Linked DNA regions of Mus musculus. The protein of the gene in region 1 interacts with the protein of each later gene in a biochemical or structural test. Links are inferred from orthologs where the notes say so. Each region holds a gene or a part of one and is shown in the gene's direction. Other genes may lie near its edges.

Region 1 (3,073 bases):
TCATCGAAAGCCCCAGTACCAACAGGACTACCCCAGTGAGCACTCCACCACTGTATACAGCCAGCCAAGCAGAGTCTCCCATCAATCTTTCCCAGCACTCTCTGGTCATCAAGTGGAATTCCCCGCCGTATGCCTGCAGTACTCCCGCTTCCAAGCTCACGAACACCGCGCCTAGCCACCTGATGGACCTCACGAAAGGCAAAGAGTCCCAAGCCGAGAAACCAGCCCCGAGTGAAGGTGCACAAAATTCCGCCACGTTCAGTGCCAGTAAACTGTTACAAAATTTGGCTCAGTGCGGATTGCAGTCTTCCGGGCCAGGGGAAGAGCAGAGACCCTGCAAACAGCTGTTAAGTGGAAACCCAGACAAACCTCTCGGTCTGATTGATAGATTAAACAGCCCTCTGCTCTCAAATAAAACCAATGCGGCTGAAGAGAGCAAAGCCTTCAGCAGTCAGCCTGCCGGGCCTGAGCCGGGACTTCCTGGTTGTGAGATAGAAAATCTCTTGGAAAGACGGACTGTCCTTCAGTTGCTCCTGGGAAATTCCAGCAAAGGGAAGAATGAGAAGAAAGAGAAAACCCCCGCACGAGACGAGGCTCCTCAGGAGCATTCGGAGAGGGCTGCAAATGAACAGATACTCATGGTGAAGATTAAATCCGAGCCTTGTGACGACTTCCAGACCCACAACACAAACCTGCCCTTAAACCACGATGCCAAGAGCGCCCCCTTCTTAGGTGTGACTCCCGCCATCCACAGGAGCACAGCGGCCTTACCAGTGTCGGAGGACTTTAAATCCGAGCCTGCTTCACCTCAGGATTTCTCTTTCTCAAAGAACGGGCTGTTGAGTCGCTTGCTGAGACAGAATCAAGAGAGTTACCCGGCAGATGAGCAGGACAAGAGTCACAGAAACAGTGAGCTGCCAACCCTGGAGTCGAAGAACATCTGCATGGTCCCGAAGAAAAGGAAGCTGTATACGGAACCACTGGAGAATCCATTTAAAAAGATGAAAAATACTGCCGTAGATACTGCCAATCATCACAGCGGCCCGGAAGTACTCTACGGGTCGTTGCTTCATCAGGAAGAGCTGAAGTTTAGCAGGAATGAGCTCGATTATAAATACCCTGCTGGGCATAGTTCAGCCAGCGATGGTGACCACAGGAGTTGGGCCAGAGAGAGCAAAAGCTTCAATGTTCTCAAGCAGCTGCTGCTCTCCGAGAACTGTGTGCGAGATCTGTCCCCACACAGGAGTGACTCTGTCCCCGACACGAAAAAGAAAGGACACAAAAACAACGCGCCCGGCAGCAAACCTGAATTCGGCATTTCTTCTTTAAATGGACTGATGTATAGTTCCCCGCAGCCTGGCAGTTGTGTGACGGATCATAGGACATTTTCATACCCGGGAATGGTAAAGACCCCTCTGAGCCCTCCTTTCCCAGAGCACTTGGGCTGTGTGGGGTCCAGACCAGAACCTGGGCTTTTGAATGGATGTTCCGTGCCCGGTGAGAAGGGACCCATTAAGTGGGTCATCGCAGATATGGATAAGAATGAATACGAAAAAGACTCTCCAAGACTGACCAAAACTAATCCGATCCTCTATTACATGCTCCAGAAGGGAGGGGGCAATTCTGTTACCACACAAGAAACCCAGGACAAAGACATCTGGAGGGAGCCTGCGTCAGCCGAGAGTCTCTCACAGGTTACAGTCAAAGAAGAGCTACTTCCCGCTGCAGAAACTAAAGCTTCTTTCTTTAATCTAAGAAGCCCGTACAATAGCCATATGGGAAATAATGCTTCTCGCCCACACAGTACAAATGGAGAAGTGTATGGACTTCTGGGAAACGCGCTCACCATAAAAAAAGAGTCAGAATAAATGTGTACCTGCCATACCACTTTGGGTCTTTTTAAAATTTAGTCAGTATGAACTTGAGATCTGTATAAATAAGAGCATGATTTGAGAAAAGCATGGTATAACTGAAACTCCTTCCTTTTGAAAGTATTGGTCACTGGTGATGTTTAAATATGCATACTAATTTTTGCTTAACATTAGATGTCATGAGGAAACAATTGAACTCGAGGTTGGTTGTTTACTATTTCTGTATGCATCAGATAACAACTGTGACTAGCCTACGAATGAACCTGTTTTTATAATCGTAAATAAGAGGCATACATTAAAATGCACAACTTCACCAGTAGTGGATTGATGCAACTTGCTGTCTTTATTAGGGTTGTTCATTTCCCATCTCAGAAGCCAGCCTACATAACGTGTTTGTAACATCCAAACTGTTAGCTATTTGGAAGATAACCAAATTAGGAAAAAAAAAAAAACCCAGAAGCCTTGTGCTGATTCACACCTCATCAGTCTAAAAGTAAGAAAAAGCAATGCTTACATTTTTTCACTTTTGCTAAACAAAATTCTTTTTAACTCTTGGAAGGGGTTTTGCGGTTCCCAATGAGTCTGCCCCACCCCAGACCTTTTCAATATATATATTTCTTTAAACCTTTTACTATTTAGTAACAATTGATTACAATAGAGGGGAGTTTAATAGATCCTTAAAAATAAAAGGCAGATTTCCATTTTTTTATATTTTGACTACTTTACTAAATTAATACTCCTCCTTTTTCAAAATTAGAGAAGGAAATCTTCACTCACCTTCAGGCTGTTTCCTGGACAATTGACTACTTAGAAATCGTTTTTAACAAAAGCAGAAATGGGTTTTCTTTGGATGGTTTTTACCGTCTCTTTTGAAAGTTGATCCTCACCACTCCTGTGGGACCCGTGACTTTACAACCAGGATTTCTTAATTCTGGACAGAGACACTGCATTCATCTGACTATCACATGAGTCTCTGGAACAGTTATTTAAATGCAGACTCCTAGGCAGCATCTCAGGTCTACAGAACACCGTCTCCAAGTGGACCCGGGCGTCCTCCTTCCGCCTGTATCCTGACATGTTCTGTATGTGCTTCTTCCGCACACTGATGTTTGAAAACTGTGGCTTAGGACTTTTCCAGAACATGAGACTTTAAAGTAACTATCTGATGCCTATACTTTTCCCCCAATACAGTCACATATCCA
Region 2 (3,950 bases), on another chromosome or scaffold:
TACTCACACCGCAACTTCTCGATACTTATTTATATATTAGATATTTATGGTCATTGCTGATTGTTGAGGGAACTTGTCTAAGTCCCGATATAATGACCTTGAGTCTTTCCAAGCACAAAAACGTATAGTTGCAGCATGATATCATTAGTATTTTCTTTCTATTTCTTTCTTTGTACTGGCCCAAGTGCCACTCATATATCTCTTGGTAACTGCCTAGGGTCCTAGGGCTGGAGACCGGCCACTCCTGGCGTTGTGATTAGAGTCACTTAATACCTAAAGTAGTTACTAAACAACAAAGGCTCCTTTAGGCCTCCTGTGTCCTGGGACCCAGGGTGAGGACACAGTCAGAGTACCTTGTTAATCTGTGTTGTACTGTGGTGGAGAGAAGCACTGAGAACCAGGTGTATCCATGGGACAGCACTGGAGGTACAAGATCTCTGTCTGCAACCAATGCTGGTAACTACAGCTGTGAACGTGTAATCGCTTTAACGCAAAGCTATTTTATGGTTCCAACTTTACGATTAAAATAATGCCTCTTCTGGGATGTGTTTACAGACAGTAGTCAGTAGGCTATTGGTAGAGAGGCTGGTAGGTTTGACTAATGAAGTGAGGGAGTCTTGCATTTCAGTTGGAAACATATCCCTGGAATGCCAAAAATATTTATTGCGAAGTCTGACTTTTGTATGTTATTGGTAGCATTGTCACTGAGCATCTTATTCAGGGGAACAGTAGGGCTAGAGGGCTTGACTCATATGTATCCCAGAAGGCTTTTCTTGTTAAATGACATCGTTTAGGAAGAAGATATCCTGGCATAGTTTATAAACTTGATCTCTGCACACTTTGACTGGCATTCTAGTTTATCTGTGAGCCTGTGGTTCACAGCCATCTCAGTTTCCCTCTCCATAGAAAGCACCGGGACATTTCTGGCTCTACAGGTAGGGAGCAAAGGGGGCTGGAGTTTCTTCTAGGAATGCTGATTCTAGCGGGGCTACTGCTGTCCCTCAGCAGACAGCAAGGCTCCCGGACTCCCGCTGCCATTCATCCAGCTCGTGCAGGAGCCCAGCTGCCTTGTCTGCCGGGAGGGGCTGCCAAGTGCCCTGCCTACTGGCTGCTTCCCGAGAGTCCCTGCCACTCCACATACAAACACATCCACACACGCTCTGCCTTGATCACACACCGCGCCACTCGATCATTCGAGCACATTCCTTCCTTCCGTCTTACTGTCTCAGCCCTTGACTTCTACAAACCCATGGAACATTTCTGGAAAGACGCTCTTGAACCAGCAGGGTAGGATCGGCTTTTGATTTCTCTCTCTCTTTCTCTCTCTGTAGCTTGAGCGATTTGAGAAAGCAACTTACCTTTCTGCTTAGTGTCTGTCTCCTAGCTGGAGAAGGAAGCTGTGCTGTTTTTCTATGGGGGGAAATCTGTGCGGCTTTTTTTTTTTTTTTTCCCGCTTTCCGGACTTGTAGGATTCTCTGTGCCATTTATATATAATTTGGCAGGCTCAGATTTTTAAAGAGTCTCATCTGAAGTGCTTGCTTTTGCATGTGTTTTTTAAAAGGCATTTGAAAATTGAAAGTGTGATTTATGGGAACTAAATCATCTACGAAAAAATTGCTCTAGAAAGTCATGGTTGCTGGCCATAAAGAGAAATATCTGCGATTCACCTAATGTATTTTTAACCCTTCCTTTGCTGTCAATGATACTTATGGGTGCTAAAACTCATCTTTGTCTTTAGATTTAAGCCAGCTTAGCTGTGGTTTATCCAAAATTATCTGTTTTTCTAAGAATTAGATAAATAGTGTGCTTAGTAGAAAATATTTTTAAAGTGTTACTATTAGTAACAGCAACCTTGACATTTGCATGTGTCAGGTACTTCTCCTGGGTATATGGGCTAGCAATTCAAGTCATATGCTAATGGTTATTTTAGGGGATATTAGGTTGGGGCATATGCAGTTTATTAAGAAAGTACAAACTATCCAAGCTGCAATTTTTTTCTAAATTTGCAATAACAGGTGTGTGTGAGCTCAATCAGAATTTAATTCAATACTGAATAAAAAACTTATTTTAACTTCTCTGTCATTCGAGTATTAGATTCCTGTGTACCCTATGCCAAGGGAACCCAGAAGGTCCATTTGTAGAATTCAAGAGCTGAAAGGTAGGAGAGCCTTTCAAAAGTTTCTGGTTAGACAGACAAGGTTACCGGATCGCCAGAGCTTTAGTCAAGGACCTCAGGTGATATTTTATGGGAAAATGTCTTAGTCCTTGCATGGTTTTCCCAATTTTTGGTTGCATAACCTGTGGAAGGTAGGGACACCCAAGTGTGCCTAACCGAAGGTTTTTCTGAATCATATCCACATGAGAATTTCTAAAGGAAGCAAATTTGGCACCGGGGTCCAACAAAAACAGAAAAGCTAGGCTGGGCAAAATTGCCATGGCTGTGCTTTCTTGGGGAGCGTTTTAAAAAAATTATTATTTTTATTTTTTTGTCAGAAGAGGAAGCTGAAGGCTGGCAGTTTTCTCTTGACTCCAAGTGCAGCTCTTCCTATACATAGTCCATCTCCACTCGTCTGGCCCTAGATGCCTCCTATCTGTGTCCACTGGTGCTAAATATAGCTGTCGGTGGCTGGCTGCATATGCAATCACACACCCCATCCTATTTGCCATATCTCAGTTACAGATACAGTTACCGTCCCTCCAGGGTCATTCTATGCATACACTGCGTACTTCCAGCCAACAAGAAGACTGAATCAAATAGAAAGGAAGACAAAACAGAGACAGATTGGAGCTTGGCAGAGGCACACAGGCAACACATCAGGAAAAGAAAGAAAGAAAGAAAAAAAGAAAAGAAGAAAGAAAGAAAGAAAATGGCCTGTGGCTTAGTCTGCATTTGTTGCAAACCTAGTCTTCCTTGGGATGGGGGGAGTGGTAGGGGCGCGGCTCCTGGAGGTCCCTTTGCTGCTTTCACCCCCTGCAGCGAAATCCAGCAGCGAAGACCTGGAAAGTTAAGTTCAAGGAAGCTAGCGGTTCCTTGGGTGCACGCACAGTGTGATGTTCCCAGTAGTGCCTGGAAGCTGCAGCCCCTGGCCAGTGGCTTCCAGCAGGTTTGTCTAAGAGCAGAGGAGAGGAGTATGTAAAGTTGGAGAACCCGGGAGCGTCTGGGTGCGCTCCTTGGAGTTGGGTCACCTGTGTTCTGCAGGATAGCTCTGCCCCGCAGGGGCAGAGGCAGGGCCAGGGCCAGTACTCGTGCCAAGGGGGACTTGCGCTGCGCCTTCTCTAATCGCAGGCTCTACTCTTTTTTCCAGGTGGCCCACGCGCTGCTGAGCCCTCTGCGTGCGCGGGGAGCCAGTCTGTAACTCGCCGGCTGCCACTTACCATGACCATGACCCTTCACACCAAAGCCTCGGGAATGGCCTTGCTGCACCAGATCCAAGGGAACGAGCTGGAGCCCCTCAACCGCCCGCAGCTCAAGATGCCCATGGAGAGGGCCCTGGGCGAGGTATACGTGGACAACAGCAAGCCCACTGTGTTCAACTACCCCGAGGGCGCCGCCTACGAGTTCAACGCCGCCGCCGCCGCCGCCGCCGCCGCCTCGGCGCCGGTCTACGGCCAGTCGGGCATCGCCTACGGCCCCGGGTCGGAGGCGGCCGCCTTCAGTGCCAACAGCCTGGGGGCTTTCCCCCAGCTCAACAGCGTGTCGCCTAGCCCGCTGATGCTGCTGCACCCGCCGCCGCAGCTGTCTCCTTTCCTGCACCCGCACGGCCAGCAGGTGCCCTACTACCTGGAGAACGAGCCCAGCGCCTACGCCGTGCGCGACACCGGCCCTCCCGCCTTCTACAGGTACCCGCGCCACATCGGGGTGGCCGCTGTGTAAGGCCTGGCCGGGGGAGGGAGCGCACGAGGGGGGTCACCGCGGGCTGCAGGTCTCCCCATCCCAGCCCTCGGGGAAG
Region 3 (3,255 bases), on another chromosome or scaffold:
TCCAGAACATTCCAAGAGTGTGCAGTTGGACTTCCCTGGAAGGGATTTTGAACCGTCCCTGCATCCCACTACTTCTAATTTAGATTTTGTCAGTTGTTTACAAGTTCCTGAAAACCAAAGTCATGGGATAAACTCACAGTCCGCCATGGTCAGTCCTCAGGCATACTATGCTGGGGCCATGTCCATGTATCAGTGCCAGCCAGGGCCACAGCGCACCCCTGTGGACCAGACGCAGTACAGCTCTGAAATTCCAGGTTCTCAGGCATTCCTAAGCAAGGTAAGGGCTTTCGACAGCTGAAAAAACCTTGTAGGCCTAAGCATCTCTGTATTACACTTAAACATATCATCATAACCCATTTTAGATAGCAAGCAACTTCGGAACTGCTTTCGTTATATTTATGGTCACGTAATTAACTTCATTATAGTTTACTTAAAATAGTATGAATAATAAATTATTTTAAATAATTTTCTTAAAAGCAAGTTGATGTTTAGATAATTTAATAACTGTTCTTTGTTACCCCCTCAGGAGGATATCATGCTTATATTAATAAATTTCTCTTTACAAATATTAGCTTATTTGAAGATATACTGGTTTAGATTGTAAGAATATCTTGACTAACATGAAGTTTATTAAGTAACTATTCATGAGCTGTTTGAGTATAGCCATTTAAAAGTGTGGCTTAAATCACAGTCCTGGTTGCTTTTTAGATTGTGAGTGAATCTGCTGTGTCTGATTGTATGGGACTTTTTTTTTTTTGAATGGAGAATGAAGATGATAGTTTTGGTCAATCTTTTTCCTGAAAATTTTTAGGAAAAAGATTTCCTAAAAATTTTTAATAGTTATTATAAAGAAAATGGATTAACCATACTTTGGATATAATTTACTCATAAAAGAATAGAATATTAGTATTTGCCTCAAAGCGGTGTGTCTGAAGGACATTATAGAATATAGAGAGCATCCATGTGTGCAAACCTCCAAGGCTGATCCCTCAGATGCTGGAAATGGCCGCAGAGTGGGGCTGGCTATTGGGTAGTAACAGACAGATAGTGGGAGTAACTTCGGCTCTTCTACAACATAGCAGGATGACAGAAGTTCACAACAGTTCATTGCATGATTCAAAATCACTAGAAAAAAAGGAAATCAAAGGTTCTTCATGCAAATAACAGATGAGTGTTCACAGTGAAAGATAATTGCCTGATTTGCTTACACACTATATAGATGAATTGAAATGTCACATTGTAACCTGTTCATATGAGTAATTGTGCGGCAGTGAAAAAAATAACAACATTTCTAGCCTGGAGAGATGGCTTGGCAATTAACATTTGCTTACCCTTCTTGATCCCCAGCACCCACATGGGAGCTCAGAACAGTCCACAGTTTCCACTTCCAGGCACCCAGTGCTCTCTCTGCACCCTTGAGCACTGCATACTTGTGTTGCACATGCACGTGTGTGTGTGTGTGTGTGTGTGTGTGTGTGTGTGTGTGTGTGTATACATACAAACATACATCATGCAGGCAAAACAACTATACACATAATATTTTATTCTTAATTTATTATTTTTGAAATGAACCATAATTGTATTCCTTTTCTGTTTCCCTTTTTTTTCTACAACCTTTCCCATCTACCATGTTTGCTCTCTTTCAGTTTCTTGGCCTCTTTTCTTTCATTGCTCTGTGTGTGTGTGTGTTCCTAAATATTTAAATACAACCTGCACAGTCTGTATATTACCTGTAGGACAACCCTGAGCAGCAACTCAAAAGGGTTTTTCTCATGCCTGGTGTTGGGGCTGTAGAGTGAATTTGAAGACAGTCTGGAAAATGGTGAGACACAGAACAAAAGGTCAAGAGTATAGCTAGCTCAGTGGTCGAGCCGGGTTAGCATGCACAAGGCCCTTCACTGGACCTCCAGCACTACACAAGAAGTGAGTAATTTGAGGCAACTAAAGGGATAATTTTATGATTTTTATTTTAATCTCAGTTTATTTCATCAACTACACCACAATGTGAAGTTTCTGTAGACTATAACTGTTATATTCGTTCTTCACTGTTTTAGCAGTTCTGGATATGAGACTGGTAAGAAGGCAGGTGTCTTAGTTAGGGTGTGAGGAAACAGCGTGACCAAAAGCTGTCTGAGAAGAAAGAGTTTAAATCACTCACAGCTCCACATAACAGGTCATCATCAAAAGCAGTAGGGTCAGGACCTCAAGCAGGGCAGGAACCTGGAGGCAGAAGCTCATGCAGAGGCCATGGCAGAGTACTTTCTACTGGATTGCCTTCTATTGCTTGCTCAGCCTGCTTTCTTATAGAGCCACACAATAGGCTGAGCCTACATCAATCACTAATTAAGAAAATGCCCTACAGGCTTGCCTGCCTACAGCCAGATTAGTGGAGGCATTTTCTCAATTGAGGCTGTCTCCCCTCAGTGACCTTAGCCGAGTCAAGTTGACATAAAACTAGCCAAACAACTGACTCCTTGTCAACCTGACACAAAACATTTTTCAGACAGAACCTTTCCTTTCGCATTTATCCCCAAGATAGCACATTAATATTACTACCACAATATAAAACATAAATGACTTTAAAAGTCCCACAGTCTTTACAAATGTGAGCACATTAAAAGTTCAATCTCTTTGAAATAACCATTCTCTTTAAAAAATTGGTTTTGTTTGTTTGTTTTTAAAAAAAGCCTTCAGCCCGTGCTGGGGCTACAGTTTGATCTTTTCTCAATTGAGAAATTCCTCTCTGATGCAACTAGCTAACCAAGCATCTTTTTTATTTGGTAACTTGCAGAACAATTTATTAAACACATTTTACAAATAAATTGGATTAAGATCATACCTGTAGTGTAACATTGCAAGAATAGCAAGAAACATTTAAAATCCAGATCTGGGCAAAAGTGCTGGTGTCTGAAATGCTGTGTAGAAGTTCGGATAGAATCAGTTCACTGCCTCCAGGTTTTTGATTGGTTGTGGCAGGACTGAATAACCCTTTGACACCCCATGTCACATAATTTCCCATCAGGCCCCAAGGCAGACGAAGTGAGATAGTTGTAGCGTTCGCTGTACCATCTTTAAATTATCTTGTAGGACTAATGAGAAAACCTGATCTTCCAAAAGAAGTCAGTGTGTGAGCGTTTCCTCTGTGTGATTTGAATGACGAAAGACTTAGCCATGAGCATCATCAGTACAGGACTGTAAAGTGAAACAACCCATAGGTCTAACAGACTAAAAGTCGTTTTTAAGGTCTTCCTCAGA
Region 4 (3,500 bases), on another chromosome or scaffold:
CTGATTCTGGCGTGGTGTCCCAGCGTACAAAAGGCCCTTTGGTTTTCCTATTTGTTAACTGGAGGCTGTGAACAGGGTAACCCTGATATTTTCAGTCCATGTGGGTTATTTAGCATGTGTACATGACCTAGAGATTGAGGAACATGTTCACACGGGACAGAGGGACGACACCATTAGGTGCCTGTCCAGAGGCTTTCTGTAGCACATGGGTACCTAGCAGAAGTCTTAGAGAATGCCCAGAAAATTGCATGCAATTGTAGATCCTAAGGCTTATTACCATACTTGGGTTTATGCTGAAGGCTGCATAGTTATTCACACTCGTGGGTGTGATATTGCATATATATATATATATATATATATATATATATATATACATACATTTGAAAGGTTATATAGATTTAAGAATATTCCAAGGAGTGTCCTATATATTGTGGCTGGAATGTATATGTGTGTATGTGCGCCTTAGAGCAGCGCCTTCCTGTGACGGGTGTCTGTGTGTTTGGGGACTTTTGAGCATTGCTTAAATGTGAGATGTGTGTGTTTGTGTTTTGGGGTCTCACAGCAATACCTGTCTGTGTGACTGTACTGGGCCCTCAAACATGGTTTTGGCCCCATCTAAGCCCCTTATCTCTCCCATGCAGCGACCAGATAGCTAGACCCTTTCCAAGCTTTGTCAGCTGATATAGGGGTGGGGGGTAGAATAAGGGCATAAGGAGGGGGGAGAAACCAAGCCTGGGGGAGTGGAAAGGGGTGAAGTCTCTTAGGTGGGAAGAGACTGCCCAGAGGCTACTCTGTGTGATTCTGCCCACTTTGCCCCATGCAGTGCCAGGTCACCAGATGGAAAGCGAAAAAGAAAGAACGGCCAATGTCCCCTGAAAAGCAGCATGTCAGGTGAGCCTGGCTACATGTGTCCCTTACCCTCCCACTTCCCCTCCCCCCACAGCACACTTGGCCTCCTCCCAGGCTAGGCCTGGACCTCCTGTGTCTCTGGAGGGAACAGCCTACAGAACATGGGTTGGATTTGTCTGGTGGTGAGAATAGTGATTCAAAACCTATTCTGGCCTTTGAGGAGGATGTAGGTCAGGAAGGGCCTCTTTGACCCTCCCATGACCTCCTCATCAATGGTTCCACCGGCCCCAGGGCATCTGTTCTCCTAAGATGGTTGCTTCTTCTCCAAGTCCCTTACTCTATTCTATCACTTAGATGTAACGTGGAAGAAAACAAAAGAGCCCTACCTAGGCCAAGTACAATGGCACCTACCTGCAGTTAGTGCTGTTTGGGATACCCATATAGGAGGATGGCTTGAACCAGGGGTTCAAGGCCTGCCTGGGGAACATAATAAGATCCAGGCTCAAAAATAAATACATGGAAGTGAGTTGGGTCCCTGAGTGGACAGTCAGAAAAAAAAAAGACTTCCATTATATATATCTGAAGGGAAAGGGAGGGGCAATCCCCACCCCCTCCTCCCCTGGTACGTCCCCAGGGTTTTTCCTTTCTACTTTGAGATAAGGAGCCCCTCCCTCCGTGGTGATGGACTGGGAGAGGGTTGAGAAAGGCCAAGTTGGGTGGGTACAGTGTAGGAGCTGCTCTGATGGGCTCCGCCCCATGCCCACTGCCTTCACCCTTTCCCCCTCCCAGGGTATATCCCTAGTTACCTGGACAAAGACGAGCAGTGTGTCGTGTGTGGGGACAAGGCCACCGGTTATCACTACCGCTGTATCACTTGTGAGGGCTGCAAGGTATGGATGAGCCGTCTCCCGTCCGCCCCTCTCCCGTTGCTGGTTCCCCTTTGAGTCTGATACCTGGCGTAATTCAGTCACATGTAACCTAGAGTGGACCGGTTGTATCCTTTTCTCTTCTGCATTTATCTGGTCACTTGTTCATTCATAACCCTTGCTGTGACACTCGTAGCTGTGACACTCGTATGCCATGTGTCTAACCTCTCTGAGCCTTGGTTTCTTCTTGCTACCTTCGTCATAGAGTTAATAAGCAAATTAAATGAGCTAATTCACCTGGCACGGCTTTAAGTAACTGCAGAGGGGTGGGAAGAGGATCTGGCAGAGGTGAGACTCGCGACTGTGATAGCCTTTAATACAGTGCCTAGCGCTGTCATAGGGTCAGACATCATTCATTCTTAGTGTGTTAGGAATGAGGGGTGTGAGGCTAAATGTACTGCACACCTGGGATTCTAGTACCTGGGAGACTGAGGCATAAAGATCATGAGTTCAAGGTCACCCTGGAATGTCTGGTTGGTTCTGGGCCAGCCTCAGCCACATGCCCAGTACAGTAGCACACAGATTTTATCCCAGTGCCCTGAAGGCACAGGCAGCCTAATGCCTGTGGGCTGAAGCCAACCTGATCCACACAGTGCATTCCAGACAATCCAAGGGTACACAGTGAGACCCTGTCTCAAAAAAAAAAAACAAAAAACAATAACAAAAACAAAAAAGAGCATGGTACACAGTATACATCATACTCTCAAACTCCTTGCAATCTACCAAAGAAGCAATCCACACAGGATCAGTGTCTTTCAGAACATAGGTCATGGAGGCTGGGGAGTTGGCCCTGTGGGAAAGTGCTTACTGTACAAGCGTGAGGATGCGAGTTCGGAGCCCCAGCTTCCACGCAGAGAGCTGAGCATGGCAGCATACCTGTCCGTGACCCAAAACTGTGAGACAGAAGCAGGAAGATGCCCGAGGCCTCCTGGCTAGCCAGTCCAGCTTGTCTGTCACATATGCTCCCTAGTGAGACCCTGTGTCACATAAAAAATGAGGTCCGGGGCTGGTGAGATGGCTCAATGGGTAAGAGCACCCGACTGCTCTTCTGAAGGTCCGGAGTTCAAATCCCAGCAACCACATGGTGGCTCACAACCATCTGTAATGAGATCTGACTCCCTCTTCTGAGTGTCTGAAGACAGCTATAGTGTATTTACATATAATAAATAAATAAATAAATAAATAAATATTTAAAAAAAAAAAAAAAGAGGTCCGAAAGGTGGAGAATGATTGAAGAGGACCCTAGGTGTTGACCTCTGGCCTCCAAGTGCACATACACAGGCACACACCCTGTGCATGCACACGCACATATGCTCTATACTGAAGATTCCTGGGCTACCGGCAGTAGTAAGTATACTGCAGATTCCCAAACTGTGTGTGTCCCCTACTTTGTCCAAACCTTATTGTGGTGGAGCCCAGGACTCTGCTTTTAACAGGAGTCCCAGGAGCTCCCAATGTATCCGGAAAAAACTAGGACCTGTGCTGAAGGGTCATGATGGGGACATAGAGGAGAAGATTGCCAAAGGTTCTTTTTAGCAGAGGATCAAAGGCCACAGACTTGGAAAAGCCTATTAGATACAACCTGTTTCAACCTGTATGGCTTTTCTGGGACCACCACCTCCTGCAGGTACAGGTCTTTCCAGAAGGAGATCATTTAAAAGTGAGACCAGGCATGGTGGCACATGCCTATAGCCCCATATTCAGAAGATGGAAGCAGAAGGATTA
Region 5 (3,500 bases), on another chromosome or scaffold:
GATGTGACCTCTCTGCCTTCTGCCAAGGCTCAGTCTGCTTATCTCCTATTACTCCTCTTTATCGTCTCTCCTGCCCTGCTTCTTCCATCTGGGCACAAGGGTATCTGCGCCTATGCCTGAGATGGGGACAGAGAATGCTCAACCCTGCTGGGCCTCTTTCTGGGTCACCCACATGGGTCTCTATTTACTTTGTTGCCACTGTGACCGTCTTATAGGTTTTTTTTTTCCCCCACCCAGGCATCCAGAAGTTCTAAGGGGCCCCAGAGAACTTTCTAGATCCCCCTGCCTGGTTTCACCTGGGTGATTCTGTCTGACTATCTGTCCCATGAGTATCTGTCACCTTGGCAGGCATGAGGGGCTCTGGCACTGCGTTTTAGTTTACTCCTTGGAAAGAGTGATGGAGAGGGAAATGTGAGGAGAGATGGGGAGTAGCCGCGGTCAGAGGCTGGGTCTCAGTTCTAACAGTGATGGGGCTCAGGACAAGCAGAGAGGCCTAGGCTAGGGACCCAGAGGAGATGGGTAAGGACTGGCAGAAGCAGGCCCCCCCTGCTCTCCTGCCCTGTGTGTTGGAGCAGGGGTGGGTGGGTGGGGTCCCGAGGAGCCTGCATGACTGTCTGGATGCTCTTTCCTTTTGACCCTCTGTCTTTGGTAGGATTACTATGGCTGTGTTGAAACGCAAAACCAAAACCAAAAGCAATTTAGGCGTGAAAGGGTTTCTTTGGCTTACATATCCTGAGCTACAGTCATTGAGGGAAGTCAACACAGAAACTCAAAGTGGGCAGGAACCCAGAGGCAGGAGCTGATGCAGAGGCCAAGGAGGATGCTGCTTACTGGCTTGTTCCCCATGGCTTGAGCAGCCTGCCTTTTTATAGAACCAGGACCACCAGCTTAGAACAGTGGCGTGTTTCCCCCCACACTAATCACCAATTAAGTAAATGCCCTGTAGGTCTCCTTCCAGCTCAACCGTATGGATACATTTTTCCAGCTGAGGTTCCCTCCTCTCAGTTGACTCTAGCTGTGTCAAGTTGACATAAGACTAGCCCACACACCTGTCCTCTCCTTTCTCATCACCTGCCTGAGGACGCCCCAGAGAAGAGGGAAAGGCTGCTAAACTGAGGGCAGAGCTAGTTTTTACGTCTAGTTATCTCTCCTTGGGCTTGAGGGAAGGATGAAGCTTTATGGAGTGAGTGTCCTTCATCAGCCTCTTGCTGATGCCTGAAGGGCCAACAGTGGCATGGGGGAAGCCAGTCCTGCCCTCTCATACTCCAAAGTACCAGGAAAGACAGGCATGGATTGGTGCCATCTTAGCTCCAAAGGGTAGTGAGAAAGCAGGGTTGAGCTGGGGCTTCATGGACAAGGTAACCAGTCTGTAGGAGACTCTGAAGTCCTGGTGGCAAGTGGGACAAGCGGGGAGGTTGTCTTCTATGTCTGGTAAAGAGCATGGACCTAGACTCACACTGAGCTGTACAACCATAGGTGCCTTGCCTGAGCTCAGTGCTCAATTTCTTCTCTCTGTAAAATGATGGGGACTGTCAACGGGGTTGACATGCAGCAAGGCTGGTGGTAGTCACTGCAAGGTGTGGTCCAGAGAGAGCTGGGAGGATCTAGCCAACCTCAATCCCATTCCTGGAAAACCCATGTGGTAGAAAAAGAGAATTGGCCTCTATATGCACACTGTGGTACACACACACACACACACACACACACACACACAAGTGTAAAACAATTATTTTAAAAAGAAAGGCTTTGGGCTGGGTGGGGAAAAAGGAGGTGAGTGGGGATAGGGCAGTGAGGGAAGAGAGGTTGGGTATAGGGGTGAAGGAGGAGATGGCAAAGTGTCTCTGGCTGTAGTTATCATGGCACTAAGCAGAAGTTGCTCCTGTTGGAAGCATCTGTCTTTTCTGTGGGAGGATGCAATGACCCCAGAGTTGGGAGATACTCAGCAGGGACTGTCTTCCCCTGGGCTCCAAGGCCCAACTGCACCCTGATCGTTAGAATCTACCTTGCTCATTGTTCTGTTATCGCTGCAGACAGCTGAGAGCCCATGAGCCAAGTAGCTCCTCTATCTTCCCCAGGAGCCTAGGTACCTCTGCAGCTCCCCCCAGGGACCCTGCAGGGGCAGCCATGATCACAGGTCCTCTACTGGGCATAAGTGGTGAGGGTTGGTCTTCACAGCATTAACTCCTAGTCTTTGACATTTCCTGGGTGTGGGATATGTGACTGGCCCTCTCCAAACACCGGGAGTCACTGAACGATTGAAAACATGGAGGTCCAGAAAAACTCTGGGACACGTGTGAGGTCACACATCTAATGGGGGCCTGAAGGAGGCCCTCACTGGGACCCAATGAAGCAAACAGCTGGGAAGATAGTCTCCATCTGAGACTTTGAGCAGAGAGTTGAGAGAAGGGCCCGGAGGACAGTCCCCAGCTAGACCTCTGCATTATTCTTCCCTACAGGTGGCTGACCAGATGACACTGCTGCAGAACTGTTGGAGCGAGCTGCTGGTGTTGGACCACATCTACCGCCAGGTCCAGTACGGCAAGGAAGACAGCATCCTGCTGGTTACTGGACAGGAGGTAACTGAACTGGTCAAACCCCTAGTCCTGCATAATCCCAGGCCTCTCCAGGCTGACTCGGGACACCCCAAATTCCAAATTCAGGGACATGCACTAGCCAGGCTTCTCTGTGTCCTGGGGCCATTTGAGGAGCCACAGTGTGGAATGGTCAGTGGAAGTTCTTATAGGAGATAACAGTGGAATTGGATCTCCCCAAAATAAGGCAGAGTTGGTCAGCTGGTACTGAAGTGACAGGTGGCAGTCTATGCTGTCACACATGTGGATGCTGCAGGATCTAGGACTCTGAGAAGGGATTCGGAATAGGGCCAAGGAACTGTGGGGTGGCAAGTGTAAGAGATGAGGTTGCAGGCATTGCTAAGGGCTGGTGAGCAGGTGAGACCCTGTAGGTCTCCATTCTCATAAATGATGAATGAATAAATGAATGAACGAATGAACGAAGGAACACAAGAGTGGGCGAAAAGTAAAGAGAGCTCAGACTCAGAATTTGGCCCTTTTAGATCAGAGAATGTATTACGGGGTGGGAAGTCATTAGGAAGGCCTGGAAACTCCTGAACTCCACCTCCACCCACAGGAGGGACATTAGGGTTCCTAGTGGATGTGGGTGAAGGAGCCTAAAGTGCTGGGGTTTGGGACACATTTAAAGAGGACAGCACAGAGATGGTGAGAGGAGGTATAGGGAAAGAAGTAGGAGGAAGAAAAGAAAATCTCTGGAGACAGGAGAGTGGCCTCATGAGGGGACACAGGTTGAATAGTGGGCACAGTGGGTTCTGGAACAAAATGCAGATCAAGGTCCTACTTCCTGCCCCTGCCTCTCAGGACCTATGTCCTCATTTTGGGTTCATATCTCCCATGTTTCAGTCCACTGGAAGAAGGAATGGGGATGCTGATCAAAAGGGGTTACTCTGGGCCACAAGAGTGCAAAAA
Region 6 (3,500 bases), on another chromosome or scaffold:
ACCTGCCCAGTGCTCTGGTTGGCATCTGTTCCCTAAGCCCTCTTCCCAGTCCTGGAAGGGAGAGGAGAGCAGCAGGACTCGGCTTTGTGGACTAGGGCCTGAGGGTGGTTGGCTGGGGTCTGAAGGGTGACTAGGGTTTTCCTTTATCAAGTAAGGCCATTGTTGGGAATGGCCTCAGACGTGGCCTTAGCTGTTCTTCCATGAGGGTTCAGGTCTTTAGAGCGACACTGTGGAAAGCCTGTGTGCTCCAGTGTCTTGTGACTGGCCTTGATCTACATACATGGACCTCTCAGGCAAGCTGAGGAGGATAGGCTGCACCTAGCCTCACAGATGGGCTGCTGGCTCCTCCGGGTCCTGCCTGGGTGGTCTTGTGACCACGCCTAGCTGGCAAGTGGTAGCTCATTAAATGTCTGCTGTGGAGTCTGCTGAGAGGAGTGAAGCTACAGTGGAACGGAACAGGGCAGGACCAGAGTACTCTCAGCCCTCCCTTCCAGACAGCCCTCCTGTGGGTGCCTGCTGGGTGTGGGCCCTCACACCTACGTGGCCCCTGCCTCCTTCTTTCCCGGCTCCTCTGCTCAAGCCTTGTGTCCAGTCCTGGCAGACAGCATGTGTGTACATGGCCGCAGAGGCCACAGTCAGCCCCGGAATAACTTTGAGCTCTTTTTCCCAATCATAGTAGTATTGTGACACTGGATTCAAGAGGGTGGCGGCCAGGGAGAAAGCTGAGATCACAGAGCTTGGGTGTGAGGCTTGTTGTCTTACAGTCCGGTCTATGCATTCTCCCAGCTGGCTTAGGGCCCTCACTGTCTCCTGTCTTGGGGCTGCCTCCCCAGGAGATGGCAGGGAAGGAATACATCCACGGAGCAGCCCCTTGTGGCTGAGAGGCAGAGCCAGGCTGCAGACAGACAGTCCCTAGTACCTGTGGTGCCGGGGCTCCACTGGCCTCTCAGGTTTGCTGAGGGTTGTGTGGCTGGGAGATGTCACCCATTCCTTTGGACTCTGTCCTGGGGACCATGGGCTGCCGTCCCCTGTCCTTGCAGCCCTGGGCTTCCCTGCAGCCAGGCCTGCCAGGCCAGTGATGGGAAGCTGATTTGTCAGTGCCTTTCACTGAGCGCTTCACGGGCCCTTCACACGGGGCTGGGTGTTTAGACTGAACGTCACTGCTGAGCAGATGGTTTCTGTCAGCTGAAGGAAGCCCTTTAAAGCCGACAGTTCTCTCCTTATCGGATGCTTGGCTACTTCTTTTTTCAAAATCAGGAGTCTTGTATCCTGTTCTTGGGTACTCTTGCCCACCACACCCTGAGGTCAGAGGCTGTGACCCTGGCCCACCCGACAGGGTAGGCTTCCCAGCCTACTGTAAGGCCCACCTGAGTTCCTCACCTATAACAAGGCCTGGGTGTTCCTCTTCTGGGCAGAACTTTCTAGAAGGCTTCTGGTGATATCACCTCTACCTGCAACTTGGAATCCGGACCAAGCAAAGACCAGTCCAGCCCCAAGCTTGTACTTGCATGTTTGATAGGACTTCTCACCTGGGTGGCTACTGCTACCTTTAGAGATGGGGTCTGGCCCTATCTCAGCTCCCTCACCTTCCTGTTAAATGGCTCCTTTTCCTCTTCCCCCAGCACCTGCTCTCAGGGGTGGGGAAGACCTGATAGGCTTCCATGGTACAGATTACGTTTCCTTCAGCCATTGAGCTGTGTGACCCTAGTCTGTCTTGATGGGCCCCAGTCAGGTTTTGGGCAGCGCTGACTCTTATCTTCCTGCCTTTCCTGATTTGGAGGTTCCCCAGGCCCCCTGACTTGGGACTCCTGCCAGCTTCAGGTCAGCCATGTCCTCTAATCTGCTTTTCCTGATAACATCCCTTCTGACTTACAGCCTCCTGCTTCTTCTGATGACCACTGCCTTGGTACTAGTCCCGCTCCAATAAGCCAGGGCTTCCTCCAGCCTGTTACTATGGTGGATCTCTTCTCAGAGTCCTTTCACTGTGCCAGGCCTCCGATGGTTTGGGATGCAGATCCTGGGACCCCACTCCATGGGTGTTTTGTGTGGGGTGAGGTGGCTCTGTCGGCTATCAGGTGTGAGGTTTGATCAATGTCCTTTCTCCGTTCTAGCCAAATGACCCTGTTACCAACATCTGTCAAGCAGCAGACAAGCAGCTCTTCACTCTTGTGGAGTGGGCCAAGAGGATCCCACACTTTTCTGAGCTGCCCCTAGACGACCAGGTCATCCTGCTACGGGCAGGTGAGTAGCCTGGGCAAGTGGCTGCTAGTGGATCAGTGGGCTCCTGCCCACTCCTGCATGCGGTATAGCGCTACCTTCCCCTTCCAGCTTAGAAAGTCAGTAAAGGGTCTCCTCGGCTGCCCGCCAGGTCTATGTGACCTCTGCAGCCGTGTCACCTTGGAAGCTTCAGGCTTTTTTCTGAGCAGAGGTCTTGATGCAAGTGTCTGGAGCATAAGAGTGTGTGTCTCTCATAGCCAAGGGGACTGTCGGGAAGGAGTGTAGCCTTGGAACTTGGGCTGAGGCTAGGTCTGTAGGCTGCCCTGGTCCTTATTGATTAACTGGGCATTGGGGCATGCTGACTGTTGCTCAGAGTCCACCAGGTCACCAGTAGGGGTGTTAGGATCGAGAGACTTAGATCGCCAACCTGTGGAGAGATGGGGATATATTGAGAATGTCACCTGCAACTCTTGCTCGCCACAGAACTGTGGTGACAGTTGACACTACCCCACTCCGGTGAAGAGCCCTGGAGACCATGCTGTCTCGAGGGGACTGAGTGCCCTGACTTGCTTTGGTTTTCTGCTTGCACCAAGGGCTCTCAGCCTCAGCCCACCCCAGTAGATACCATGAGCAGAGATGGTTCCCTGTTGTTTTGGAACCTATTTAGTTGGGGTGAGGCTCGCATGGGCACTGATCTTCCTAACTTCCCTTTGAAAAGACCTCTTGGTAGGTATGGGTTGCTGAGATGAACAAGATGGATCCTGCCATGTTTGCCTCTGCCTAGGTGGGCTTGTGGGATGGGGCATGTGAACACAGGACTTCTCTGAGGCTGGGAAGCACTGTTCAGGGGGAACTGCCACGGCTGTAGGAACTGCAGAGCCATCTGGCCTTCTCGCTTAACACAGGTGTCCCAGTGAGCACTTGCCACTGAGGCATGTCAACCCATGTAGAAGGGACAGCTCTAGGGTGGAGCCTCGGGTGACCTGCTCAGTGTGGGGCTCAGGTGCCTAGAAATGAGATGAGGCAGAATTGGCCCCACATATCCTTATGGGGACCCTGAGGTCACATTTCTGGGCGTGATCTCCCCTGTGGCAAGAAGCTTATCAGCAGGCCCCACTTCTCAAATGCTGACTGCTTCCATTTCCCATTGTAAAAGGGGTCGGTAGGCTTGGAGCCGGGATATGGGAACCACAAGGCTTGGGAAGTTTCTGGACCTGCTGAAAGGCTCCTGCCACCTTGTCAAGGAGCCCCTGGCTGTTTGTGCAGAGTTCTGTCTTCTCTCC

What was found.
Region 2: the proteins of Nrip1 (region 1) and Esr1 form a complex in vitro, tested with the Homo sapiens proteins (4 studies listed by BioGRID, with this or other methods). The link is inferred for Mus musculus from reciprocal best matches to the Homo sapiens genes NRIP1 and ESR1.
Region 3: the proteins of Nrip1 (region 1) and Ahr form a complex in vitro, tested with the Homo sapiens proteins (2 studies listed by BioGRID). The link is inferred for Mus musculus from reciprocal best matches to the Homo sapiens genes NRIP1 and AHR.
Region 4: the proteins of Nrip1 (region 1) and Thra form a complex in vitro, tested with the Homo sapiens proteins (4 studies listed by BioGRID). The link is inferred for Mus musculus from reciprocal best matches to the Homo sapiens genes NRIP1 and THRA.
Region 5: the proteins of Nrip1 (region 1) and Nr5a1 form a complex in vitro, tested with the Homo sapiens proteins (2 studies listed by BioGRID). The link is inferred for Mus musculus from reciprocal best matches to the Homo sapiens genes NRIP1 and NR5A1.
Region 6: the proteins of Nrip1 (region 1) and Rxra form a complex in vitro, tested with the Homo sapiens proteins (2 studies listed by BioGRID). The link is inferred for Mus musculus from reciprocal best matches to the Homo sapiens genes NRIP1 and RXRA.

The regions. Positions count from the first base shown.
Region 1 is NC_000082.6:76,289,977-76,293,049, reverse strand, and holds part of Nrip1 (nuclear receptor-interacting protein 1), read left to right. Parts: coding exon 1-1,868; 3' UTR 1,869-3,073. UniProt on the Homo sapiens protein: Modulates transcriptional activation by steroid receptors such as NR3C1, NR3C2 and ESR1. Also modulates transcriptional repression by nuclear hormone receptors.
Region 2 is NC_000076.6:4,709,008-4,712,957, forward strand, and holds the start of Esr1 (estrogen receptor), read left to right. Parts: upstream 1-1,150; 5' UTR 1,151-1,287; intron 1,288-2,958; exon of another isoform or gene 2,959-3,104; intron 3,105-3,305; 5' UTR 3,306-3,376; coding exon 3,377-3,840; intron 3,841-3,950.
Region 3 is NC_000078.6:35,500,735-35,503,989, reverse strand, and holds part of Ahr (aryl hydrocarbon receptor), read left to right. Parts: coding exon 1-277; intron 278-3,255. UniProt on the Homo sapiens protein: Ligand-activated transcription factor that enables cells to adapt to changing conditions by sensing compounds from the environment, diet, microbiome and cellular metabolism, and which plays important roles in development, immunity and cancer.
Region 4 is NC_000077.6:98,755,285-98,758,784, forward strand, and holds part of Thra (thyroid hormone receptor alpha), read left to right. Parts: intron 1-823; coding exon 824-891; intron 892-1,638; coding exon 1,639-1,739; intron 1,740-3,500.
Region 5 is NC_000068.7:38,701,043-38,704,542, reverse strand, and holds part of Nr5a1 (steroidogenic factor 1), read left to right. Parts: intron 1-2,456; coding exon 2,457-2,576; intron 2,577-3,500. UniProt on the Homo sapiens protein: Transcriptional activator. Essential for sexual differentiation and formation of the primary steroidogenic tissues. Binds to the Ad4 site found in the promoter region of steroidogenic P450 genes such as CYP11A, CYP11B and CYP21B.
Region 6 is NC_000068.7:27,750,201-27,753,700, forward strand, and holds part of Rxra (retinoic acid receptor RXR-alpha), read left to right. Parts: intron 1-2,111; coding exon 2,112-2,241; intron 2,242-3,500. UniProt on the Homo sapiens protein: Receptor for retinoic acid that acts as a transcription factor.